Macaca fascicularis: one gene and its partners. The protein of the gene in region 2 interacts with the protein of the main gene of each other region in a pairwise test. Links are inferred from orthologs where the notes say so. Each region holds a gene or a part of one and is shown on either strand. Other genes may lie near its edges.

Evidence for each region.
Region 1: the proteins of SH3GL1 (region 2) and DPPA4 interact in binary tests that used the Homo sapiens proteins (3 or more experiments, as listed by UniProt). The link is inferred for Macaca fascicularis from reciprocal best matches to the Homo sapiens genes SH3GL1 and DPPA4.
Region 3: the proteins of SH3GL1 (region 2) and SH2D4A interact in binary tests that used the Homo sapiens proteins (3 or more experiments, as listed by UniProt). The two-hybrid records come from large-scale screens. The link is inferred for Macaca fascicularis from reciprocal best matches to the Homo sapiens genes SH3GL1 and SH2D4A.

The regions. Positions count from the first base shown.
Region 1 is NC_088376.1:173,735,824-173,739,536, reverse strand, and holds part of DPPA4 (developmental pluripotency-associated protein 4), read right to left. Parts: intron 3,275-3,713; exon of another isoform or gene 3,272-3,274; coding exon 3,151-3,271; intron 899-3,150; coding exon 738-898; intron 652-737; coding exon 601-651; intron 1-600. UniProt on the Homo sapiens protein: May be involved in the maintenance of active epigenetic status of target genes. May inhibit differentiation of embryonic cells into a primitive ectoderm lineage.
Region 2 is NC_088393.1:5,136,233-5,140,472, forward strand, and holds the start of SH3GL1 (endophilin-A2), read right to left. Parts: upstream 3,011-4,240; 5' UTR 2,864-3,010; coding exon 2,819-2,863; intron 1-2,818. UniProt on the Homo sapiens protein: Implicated in endocytosis. May recruit other proteins to membranes with high curvature.
Region 3 is NC_088382.1:22,384,124-22,387,836, reverse strand, and holds part of SH2D4A (SH2 domain-containing protein 4A), read right to left. Parts: intron 949-3,713; 5' UTR 745-948; coding exon 564-744; intron 1-563. UniProt on the Homo sapiens protein: Inhibits estrogen-induced cell proliferation by competing with PLCG for binding to ESR1, blocking the effect of estrogen on PLCG and repressing estrogen-induced proliferation. May play a role in T-cell development and function.

The sequences.
Region 1 (3,713 bases), on a different chromosome or scaffold from region 2:
TACTGCCTCAGCCTCCTGAATAGCTGGGATTACACACATGCACCACCACACCTGGCTAATTTTTGTATTTTTAGTAGAGACAGGATTTCACCATGTTGGCCAGGCTGGGCTGCCTCATTTTTATTATTCTTTGCAGACTTGGTGAGAAGTAGGGATGGAAGGCCAGGCACGGTGGCTCACACCTGTAATCCCAGCACCTTGGGAGGCCGAGGTGGGCAGACCACGAGGTCAGGAGTTCAAGACCAGCCTGACCAAAATAGTGAAACCCCACCTCTACTAAAAATACAAAAAATTAGCTGGGCGTGGTGGCGGGTGCTTGTAATCTCAGCTACTTAGGAGGCTGAGGCAGGAGAATTGCTTGAATTCGGGAGGTGGAGGTTGCAGTGAGCTGAGATGGTGCCACAGCACTCCAGTCTGGGTGACAGTGTGAGACTCCATCTCAAAAAAAAAAAAAAGGAAAGCAGGCATGGAAAATACTGTTCTTTCTTAGAACTAGGGGTGGAGGGACAAGCGGAGGCTAAGACAGCTCCTTTACTCACTTTTGAGGCTACAATAGGTAATTAGGATAAGCACTGAAACGTACATCCTTTAAAAAGTTACCTTTTGATTTGGGTAGGCAAAGGCACACAGGCGCTTATATGCATCCAATTTCTAAGACAACAGAAAACTGAGTTAGTAAGGCAAGTAAGGTTCCTACCCTTCCTCCCAGCAGTACCATCCCCAGCCTAGGCCCTCACCTGGCCTTTGGAGCTCAGCTTCAATTGTTGGCACCAGGCCCGCAGAATGTCCCGGTGAATCAGATTAACAGGTGGCAGTTTAGAGGGTAATGGAGGGATTGGTATCTTCCTCTGAGGTCTGGGGTTGTCACTGCACTCTGCCTTCTTCTTAGGACAGAGCACTGAAGGAGAATGGAATCAAATTAGTAGTAATTAACTTTGTGTACCTTTTCAGAATTTCAAAAGTAAAATCACTGTTTTTTTTTTTTTTTTTTGAGAGTCTTGCTTTGTCGCCCGGCTGGAGCGCAGTGGCGCAATCTTGGCTCCCTGTAACCTCCGCCTCCTGGGTTCAAGCGATTCTCCTGCCTCAGCCTCCTGAGAAGCTGGGATTACAGATGCCCACCACCACGCCCGGCTAATTTTTTTTCTATTTTTAGTGGAGGTGAAGTTTCACCATGTTGGCCAAGCTGGTCTCGAACTCCTGAACTTGTGATCTGCCCACCTAGGCCTCCCAAAGTGCTAGGATTACAGGCCTAAGCCACCGCGCCCGGCCTAAAATCAGTTTTAGTTATTAATAGTTCAATCCCTCTCAAACCTAGGACTTACCACTTCTAAATCCCAGTTTTATTCCTCAATCTCCCCACTACTCAGGTACACGTGCTCCTTTGTGAACCCTTTAGTCCACAGAACCCAGGTGGTGGCACCGGAGATGCCACTTCCATCCCAGGGGAATTATCACTGTCTTAGACTTGAGATCATACCTTTGTGAACCCCTTAATCCACAGAACCCAGGTGGTGGCACCAGAGATGGCACTTCCACCCGAGGGGAATTACCGCTGTCTTAGACTTGAGATCATACTCAGTGGTGTCCTCTACACACAGAGCAAACTCAACACCTGACAATACTACACAGGCAACCACTAATATTCCTAATTCTGCCAGCCCACCCTAGTCAGGGCAGCACTCTGGTTTCATAGCAGGTATGCTTCCTTAGCTGAGCTGTGTTTCTGTTCATCCTGCTTCTGCACCTCACATACCTTGTCTTCATTCAGTAAAGATATTTGGCTAGGCACAGTGGCTCACACTGTAATCCCAGCACTTTGGGAGGCCGAGGTGGGGGGATAACCTGAGGTCAGGAGTTTGAGACCAGCATGGCCAACATGGTGAAATGCTGTCTCTACTAAAAAAAAAAAAAAAAATTCGCTGGGCATGATGGCACATGCCTGTAATCTCAGTTACTTGGGAGGCTGAGGCTGGATAACTGTTTGAATCCGGGAGGCAGAGGTTTTAGTGGGCCAGGATCATGCCAAAAAAATGTCTAAGGCTGGGTCTGGTGGCTTACACCTGTAATCCCAGCACTTTAGGAGGCCAAGGCAGATGGGTCACTTGAGGCCAAGAGTTCACAACCAGCCTGGCCAATATGGTAAAATCCCGTCTCTACTAAAAATACAAAAATCAGCCAGGCATGGTGGCACACGCCTGCAATCCTAGCTAACTTGGGAGGCTAAGACAGGACAATCGCTTGAACCAGGGAGGCAGAGGTTGCAGGGAACTGAGATGGTGCCACCACACTCTAGCCTGGATGACAGACCAACACCCTGTCTTGGTGTCTCAAAAAAAAAGACACAGCCTGTAATGACACTTAGAGTTAGTAGGGTTTACTGTGTACATATTACTTCTTTTTTTTTTTTTTTTTTTGAGACAGAGTCTTGCTCTGTCGCCCAGGCTGGAGCGCAGTGGCCGGATCTCGGCCCACTGCAAGCTCCGCCTCCCGGGTTTACGCCATTCTCCTGCCTCAGCCTCCCGAGTAGCTGGGACTACAGTTGCCCGCCACCTCGCCCGGCTAGTTTTTTTTTTTTTGTATTTTTTAGTAGAGACGGGGTTTCACTGTGTTAGCCAGGATGGTCTCGATCTCCTGACCTCGTGATCCGCCCGTCTCGGCCTCCCAAAGTGCTGGGATTACAGGCTTGAGCCACCGCGCCCGGCCATTACTTCTTAGGCATAGTGTAAGTACTTCACTTAATTATTCTATGTAAATTTTAACACTCCATTCCCACACCCGAATAAAGGTAGATATTGTTCAAACTTATTTTTAGAATAGGTAGTCCGGTTTCAAGAATGGGTCTTCAAATTTACAGCTGTCTGTTCCCAAATCATTGCACATTGAAATTCTTAACTCCAAGTAGCAAGTGAAGGAAAAAATGATCAACAGAACCAAATATGCTGTGGAAGTCTGAAGATAGGAAGGGATCGGTTAGGGCAATGGTGACCAAAAGATGCTTCAGGAAGGTGCAGTTTAAGCTAGACTCCCATGAACTGTAGGATTTGCAAAATATATGACGGAAATTTCTTCCCTGGCTTTTCTTCTTCAGAAAAATTCCTCTGGCTTCTAAGACCTGAGAAAGTGGGATTTGAGGATTTGAAGACCTCTTACCTTTATTGCCTTTGACAGACTTTTTTTCTTTGGTTCCCTTTGCTGATGTTCCTGGCAAAGCAATCATGTTTGGTTGATTAGAAGTTTGCTGATCCTCTTCCCTCGACTTCTCTGTGGAGGTCTACTGGGAACAGAGGAGCTGGTCAGTCATTCCTCCAGTGTCCAAACCACACATACACTACCTGCCTCAAGATAACTCACTTCTAAGGCACCAAGGCAGTCACTGGACTCCACTGGCAGTGTGGATTCTCCTCTGGGTATCATCTTAATACACACTGTCATGCAGGCCAGGCGTTGTGGCTCACGCCTGTAATCCAAGTGCTTTAGGAGGACAAGGCAAGAGGATCGCTTGAGTCCAGTAGTTGGATACCAGCCTGAGCAACAACAAGTGAAACCTTGCCTCTACAAAAAGGAAACAAGATTAGCTGAGCATGGTGGTACATGCCTGTAGCCCGAGCTACTCAAGAGACTGAGGTAGGAGAATCACTTGAGCCAGGGAGGTAGGTAGAGGCTGCATCGCTGCACTCCAACCTGGGTGACAGAATGAGACTGTCTCAAAAAAA
Region 2 (4,240 bases):
AGATAGACCCTAAGTATCTATATCCCTAGACAACCACTAGGGTTGTTACTTTATTTTTTGAGACAGGGTCTCACTTTGTTGTCCAGGCTGGAGTGCAGCAGCACGATCATAGTTCACTGTAGCCTTGCACTGCTGGGCTCCAGTGGTCCTCCCCCCTCAGCCTCCCAAGTAGCTGGGACTACAGGTGCACATCACCACACCTGGCTAACTTTTCGATATTTTGTAGGGATGAGATCTCCCTATATTGCCCAGGCTGGTCTTGAACTCCTGAACTCAAGGGAACCCCTGCCTCAGCCTCCAAAGTGCTGGGATTACAGGCATGAACCACAGCACCTGGCAGGGTCCTTACTTTTTTCTTTCCAGGGACAAAAGGTACCAGCTGGGTGTTACTGGGGACTTGTTTCTCTTTGCTCCCACTGGGCCTCTCCAAACTGTGGGCAGAGAACCCTGTTTGCCACCTCGGCCCAAGCATTTGCTAAGATCATTGCTCAGGCCGGGCGCAGTGGCTCCTGCCTGTAATCCCAGCACTTTGGAGGCTGAGGCGGGCAGATCACAAGGTCAAGAGATCAAGACCATCCTAGCTAATATGGTGAAACCCCGTCTCTACTAAAAATACAAAAAATTAGCCAGGTGTGGTAGCCGGCACCTGTAGTCCCAGCTACAAGGGAGGCTGAGGCAGGAGAATTGTGTGTACCCGGGAGACAGAGCTTCCAGTGAGCCAAGATTGCTCCACTGCACTCCAGCCTGAGCGACAGAGTGACTCCATCTCAAAAAAAAAAAAAAAAAAACACATCATTGCTCATTCCTCGGTGGACTCTATCCACACAAATTCCACACAACCTCACCCTGCAGTGCATGGACCAATAGGATTCAACAATCTGAGGCTTTTTTTTTTTTTTTTCCAAGACGGAGTCTCGCTCTGTCACCCAGACTGGAGTGCAGTGGCGCAATCTTGGCTCACTGCAACCTCTACCTCCTGGATTCAAGAGATTCTCCTGTCTCAGCCTCCTTAGTAGCCGGGGTTACAGGCAAAAATACAAAATTTTTGTACTGTTAGTAGAGATGGGGTTTTGCCATGTTGCCCAGGCTGCTCTCAAACTCCTGGCTTCAAGTGATTCTCCCACCTCGGCCTCCCAAAAGTGCTGGGATTACAGGTGTGAGCCACCGTGCCCAGACAAATTTGAGGCTTGCTAGATTTGAAGTTGCAAAGTGAAAATTTTAAGTGTGCCCAGTTTTACGGAGAGTGGATCCACAGCTTTCACCACATTCATGGGCAATGGGTCCTGGACTTTCCAAAAAACCCTTTATCTGTCCAAATCAAATGCACTTAGGCTGGGATGCAACATTCTACTTCCGGGAATTCATCCTATAAAACGAATCCCACTGGTGAGCAAAGATATTCACTGGCTATTCATTGTAGTAATGGTAGCAGAAAATTCCGGTAAACAGAAATATCTATCAACTGACAACTGGTTAAATAAATTATGGTACACCTAATGGAATGAAATACAATGTACCCATTAAAAAGATCCAAGTAGGCCAAGCACAGTCGCTCACACCTGTAATCCCAGCACGTTGGGAGGCCGAGGCAGGCGGATCACTTGAGGCCAGGAGTTCGAGACCAGCCTGGGCCAAATGGAGAAACCCTGTCTCTGCTAAAATTACAAAAAGTAGCCGGGTGCGGTGGCACATGCCTGTAGTTCCAGCTACCAGGGAGGCTGAGGCAGGAGAATTGCTTGAACCCAGGAGGTGGAGCTTGCAGTAAGCTGAGATTGCACCATTGCACTCCAGCTGGGCCGACAGAGAGTGACTCCGTCTCAAAAAAAAAAAAAAAAAAAATCCAACAAGTGTGGAGTATGGTCTAGTGCAGTAGTCCTGGGGGACAGGGAAGGAAGGGAGGAAGGAAAGAAGAGAAGGAAGGAAGGGAGAGAGACAGGGAGGGAGGAAAGGAGGAAGGAAGGAAGGAAAGTAGAGAGGGAAGGAGATTGATTCTATTCCTCAGGGGACACAGGGTGATGTCTCAAGATATTTTTGGTTGTCACGACTTGGGGGTGCTCCCGGCCTGGAGAGGGTGGAGGCCAGGGCGCTGCTCAGCACCCCGCAGTGTCCAGGATGGCCCCACCACGGAGAACAATCCGGCCCCAGATGTCAACAGTGCTGACGGAGGGGTAGAAATCTCGCTCCAGTGTGACCTCCAAGTAATGAAAACCACAGCACACAGGATTCTGTGGCAAATGCTATCAGTGTACGTGTTTTTAAAGGAAAGGCACACACGTATCTTACGAAAGGGACATACGGAGTCGATGACAGTCCCTGTCTCTGGGGAGAGAGACGGGGCTGGCTGCCCGAGGAGCAGAGAGGGGAAACTGACTTCTCCCTCTACCTTTTCAACTTTGTACCTTGCCCATCCGGAGGATTTTGAACAGAACTGCTCTAGAAGCAATTTTCCCTGGCTCTGGGTTATCTGGCAAGAATCCTGTGTCGACAGCCTCGGGACTCCTCTCTTCCCCTTCTCTCCCCGCACCCCGCCTTTGCAGGGGAGGGGAGGAGGGGTGAGGTCCGCGTCCCTGGGCAGCCCCTGGGTGCCTCTCCCCTCCTCCCAGGGGTTCTGTCCCCGCTTCTGGAGCCCGCATGGCGGGCAGGGCCTGAGCCACCTCATCGCCCCCGTCCGTGCCTTGCTCTTCCCACCCGGCGGGGGACACGCACCAACGTCCCTACCTCGGTCCCTCCGGCCCCCTCCCGAGCCAGGTCGGGCCTGGCCCCCTCATCCGGGCAGCCTGGGGCCCAGGACTCGGCCCCTGCCTGGGCCTGAGCTCACCTGGCTCGCCTTGTAGAACTGCTTCTTCAGCCCCGCCACCGACATGCTGCCGCCTGCCGCCGAGCCTCCCGCCCGGACCGCGCCAGCGACAGGCTCCCGGGCGCCGCCGACCCTCTGCGCGCCTCAGCAGCCCCCGTCGGCGCCGCCTCCGCCAGCCGCTTGCCAGCTCCGCGCCCGCCCCGGCGCCGCCTCAGCCGCTCGCGCGCCCGCGCGGCCAGGATATTACATGGCAACCGCACGCTTCCGGTGCCGGCCCCCGCGCGCGCCCCCGGCCCCGTCTGCGCACGCGCGCCCTCTGCCGGCTGGAGAGCGCACGTGCACGTTGTCTGCCGCGGGAGACACCGCCTCTGTCAGTGAGTTGAGCGGGGGGAGCCTAGAGGGGCCGTAGCAGGTTCAGCGCCCTCTGGAGTCCCGGAGGTGACCCTAACGTCTTGGGAAAGGCGCTTAGTTTAAACCTGGCCAGGGAGGTTGGGAAGTAGAAGGGGCCTCTGCCTGGTTACGATTCTCCAGATTCCTGTTTGCTCATCTTAGCTAAATCTAAATCCAGTTCCTCTAAGTGTTCAGGCTCCCTCCCCTTCTTTCTTTTTTTTTTTTTTTTGCTTTTTTTCTGAGACGGAGTCTTGCTTTGTCGCCCAAGCTGGAGTACAGTGGCGTGATCTCGGTTCACTGCAACCTCCGCCTCCCGAGTTCAAGCGGTTCTCCTGCCTCAGCCCCCCGAGTAGCTGGGATTACAGGCGAGCACCACCACGCTCGGCTAATTTTTGTATTTTTAGTAGAGACAGGGTTTCGCCACGTTGGCCACGCTGGTCTCGAACTCCTGACCTCAGGTGATCCACCCTCTCCTCCCCTAGCCTCCCAAAGTATTGGGATCACAGGTATGAGACACCGTGCCTGGCCACCTCTCTTCCTCTCTCTCTGTCCTGTGTTCATCCATTCAGTTGCCCACGTGACACATGGAGACATCTAGGTCTGGCTTCATGCCCTGGCATGGCGGCCAGAAAGATGCTTCTAGAATGCAATTCAGGGTCGGGCGCAGTGGCTCACGCCTGTAGTCCCAGCAGTGAGGGAGGCAGAGACGGGTGGATCACGAGGTCAGGAGTTCAAGACAAGCCTGGACAACATGGTGAAACCCCGTTTCTACAAAAAAAAAAAAAAAACAAAACACACACATACACACACAAATTAGCTGGGCGTGTTGGCGCACTCCTGTAATCCTAGCTACTCAGGAGGCTGAGGCAGGAGAATCGCTTGAACCTGGGAGGCGGAGGCTGCGGTGAGCAGAGATCGCACCACTGCACTCCAGCGTGGGCGATGGAGTGAGACTCCATCTAAAGAAAAAAAGAGTGCAATTCAGATCACACCAGTCCCCTGTTTTAATTCGGCCTACCACCCTTAGGATACACTCCAGACTTCCTAACATAT
Region 3 (3,713 bases), on a different chromosome or scaffold from region 2:
AACTCTCTCAAACTACCAGAGATTCCTTTGGTAATGAGGAAAAGTTTACATCTGAAAAACTCATTCACACTAAAAAAAGATAGTATTATGATTATTTTCCTTACAGCAGTTCCTTACATTTTAAGAGAGGGTGTTCCCTAAAAAGATACCTCAAAGAAAAATCTCTGAGGTCTAAGAAATGTAAACACAATTGCTATAAATATATTGATATAAGAACTTTGTGTTCTGGTAGTAGAATATAAGGAATCAGTAACAATAAAGGAGATAGAAACCTTTCTTAATACCCCTCAAATCAAACTCCATAGGTGACTTTTTACTACAGCTTCAGGTTAGTCTCATTTCAAGTAAGAGATTTCCTCACAGTTATGCAACTCCATGGTGAATGCTGTGTGTGTGTAGACTTCAAGCAGATATACTGCACTACTGGATTCTCAGTAACATTTAGGATTCATCTACCAAACTGGAACTTGCACTTGCTTTGCTTGTGATTAGTTTGAAATTGTCAAAGCCAGCCAGGAGTTATTCTACCAACACGTTCACAAAAGAAACGTGGCTAAGTTTACCTTTCTTTGGTCTGGGTTTCACTGGCAAGGACTCCTTTCTTTCCATAGCTGCTTCTCTTTCTTTCCATCGTCGGATCTGTTCCTCTCTCATCTTGAAGAACAGGATCTGTTTCTGTTCTTCGCTGAGCTCTGCCAGTAGATCGGGATCTATGTACATCTCCGACAGTATCTGTTTCAGCATCTTTGCAGTTCTGGAGTCTTTTATACCTGTGGCAAAAGTTCCTGAAACTGGCCTCCAGGTGTCCCTCCACCTGTGCTGGCACTTGGGCGTGTCCACAAAACTTCCCGAACAGCTCACAATCCTGGCTGACTGGGGCAATAATTCAGCAAACTGGCTCCTGAGACCTGGCACCAAATGTCCGGTCCAAAATGCTGTTCACTGAACCTACAGAGAGAAAGAGCCCGCATTCAGGTGGCATGTTAAAATGTGTGGACGCTGGCTAGGACGGGTTAAAAAAAAAAAAAAAAGCCAGGAGGAAATACAGTATCACTTTTCATTTCAGGGAGAAAACAGAAAAAGAAAACCTGAGGCACACTTTGTTAAGAGTTTGTGTAACTTCTATCCTATAATTTCTAAAGATACTTTGTCAAAAAAAAGAAAACAAACCCTAACTTTATACAGGTCAATCTCAGGGAAACAAAAAAAGTTCACAGAGGTTTGTCCTGCTCCCAACTAAGCAAACACATGATTACCCCAGAGCCTAACAAACCACCAACTGTGTGGCTGAAAAAAGAAAGGCAAAAAGAAAGGTCACAGGAAGAAATTAAAAGGCTCTCTGCAAAGTACCTATTTCAAAAGAAAATACCATTTTTGAGATGTCACAGAGTAACTCACCCCAAACCAAACCAAAATAGAGCCATGTTCAAGGAAGAAAAAGGAAGAAATAAAAACTAGACCACCATGCAATTTCTGCAATTTCCCTAAAAAGTAGCATTAAATAAACATAATTATGTACTTTCCTCTTCACAAAAGGATAATGTAATTTCCAGGCAACCTACTAGAGCCATGAAAATCAGGGCAGGTGCAAGAGAGAACATCCGTCTACATTCTGGAAGGTCACCGAGTTTTAGGTGTGCTTTTACTAGATAACCTAGTTTAATAAAATCTAAATGGACAGACCAGATAAACTAGCGGGATGAAGAGGTCATTAGGTTCATAACAAAGGATCCTTGATTTATATGAGTTTACTGCATGGCTCCGTGAAAGAGAAACCATAAATCGAGTGTGCACAGTGGCCTCCTAGAGGTTCTCCTGGGGTTGGAAATCCCACTGAGGTTTCATTCTGCTTTCCACATTTCTATTTGGTTGGCTTAAAAATATTACCACACTGTCATACTTTTTCTCTCTATTTTTAAACAATTTCTAAGTCTCATAAACCATCATACTTTTGTAATCAGAAGGAAACTATGTAAATATTTCTATTCTGGAAAACAAGACTTTGGATTCGATGTAGTACGATGTAAGAAAAAAAACTTACTACAACTTTTCAGAATCACATGTGTCCTAAGAAATTCACCAATAGACTAGGCATGGTGGCTCACACCTGTAATCCCAGCACTTTAGGAGGCCAAGGTGGGTGGATCACGAGGTCAGGAGTTCGAGACCAGTCTGACCAATATGGTAAAACTCCACCTCTACTAAAAAAACAAAAAATACAGAAATTAGCCAGGCATGGTAGTGGGCACCTGTAATTCCAGCTACTCGGGAGGGTGAGACAGGAGATCGCTTGAACCCGGGAGGCGGAGATTGCAGTGAGCCGAGATCGCGCCACTGCATTCCAGCCTGGGTGACAGAGACAGACTCCATCTCAAAAAAAAAAAAAAAAAAGAAAAGAAAAAATAAGAAATTGACCAATAATTTGTTGTTTACAGTAACACCTCAATAATCTTACCACCTTGCCATGTGCTCTCAAATATCTTGTTTCTCCATACTATATTCAAACACTCTTAAACTTTAGACAAGTCACTTAGCTATATTATGGCCATCGTAGTGTTGGTTTCTCTTCGTTTACCTTGTCATTGATACAGCTAGATTTGTAATGCTTCTCTCACCACCTGGGGGCCTCCTTCAGCTTCCTGTCTTCCTCCTCTTCCTTGCAAAGTTGTTCCTTGATGTACATCTGTCTTTTGAGACGAGCACGCTCAATAGCTAGGCTACCACAGAATGGTGTGCATACGCAGCACTCAGATTCGCTGACTGTTCATTGCAAAGCCAGACCCTTGATGAAACTACACCTATCCCTACTGACTGCAACCTATCATCTCAGCAGCATTCAACCACCGGAATTCAAATGGAACCAAATATTAAGAGAAAACTTTTAAAGGACTAAAAGTAATGTCACGCCCCCTGCCAGGTCCCCTTGCTAACTTTGTATTTTGCATGGAGATACCCTTAAAGGCTTGAACAGTCAAAAAAATGGATGTCTTGTAATGATTTCTTGACTGTTTCTAGCAGCTTCTGAAGGGGTGGAGCCAATGAAATCCACAAGCTCCAAGATAAAGTGGTAAGAAACGACACGGAATGACTCCTTGACATTCCAGTAAATGTCTTTATGTTCTGTGGTTGGCTTTCGCAGAAATCACACATGGCAGAAAATGAACAGTTCAGTTAGGGTTGAGACTTCCGCTCTGTTCCCCATTTTCAATGCGGTGAGTCCTATTCAAGGCGTGGGTAGAGCCTAAAATCTAAAACCCTTAAAGCGCCAAAGTCACATTCCTACTGTCTCCCCCGCCCTGCATATTCCTGATAACACAGCTAACACTTCTCGTACCAGGCACCATCTTAATTAAGCACTTTACCTGTGTTAACTCGCTTAATCTTCATAATAACCCTTCGAGTCCAGCCCATCACTGTGCTCATTTCACAGATTAGGAAGACAGAGCACAGGTCAGCAGCTGGTAAGCGGCAGAGCCGGGCAGTCCAGCTCTAAGTCAGCTTCACTGTAATCCACAGCACAGAGGCCTTTTTGTGAGTTTATTTGTGTGCCCAGAATCAGAACAGCAGGATGTGGCGCCATGTATGAAATTTCAGAATGGAAGCCAGCAAATTCCTGCAGGAACAGAAATGCTGAACTGATGGTGCTTGACACAGGGCAGAAGCCTCCTCCTGGTCCGCTGTAGCTAAGCTTAGGGGATGCCAGGTGAACACAG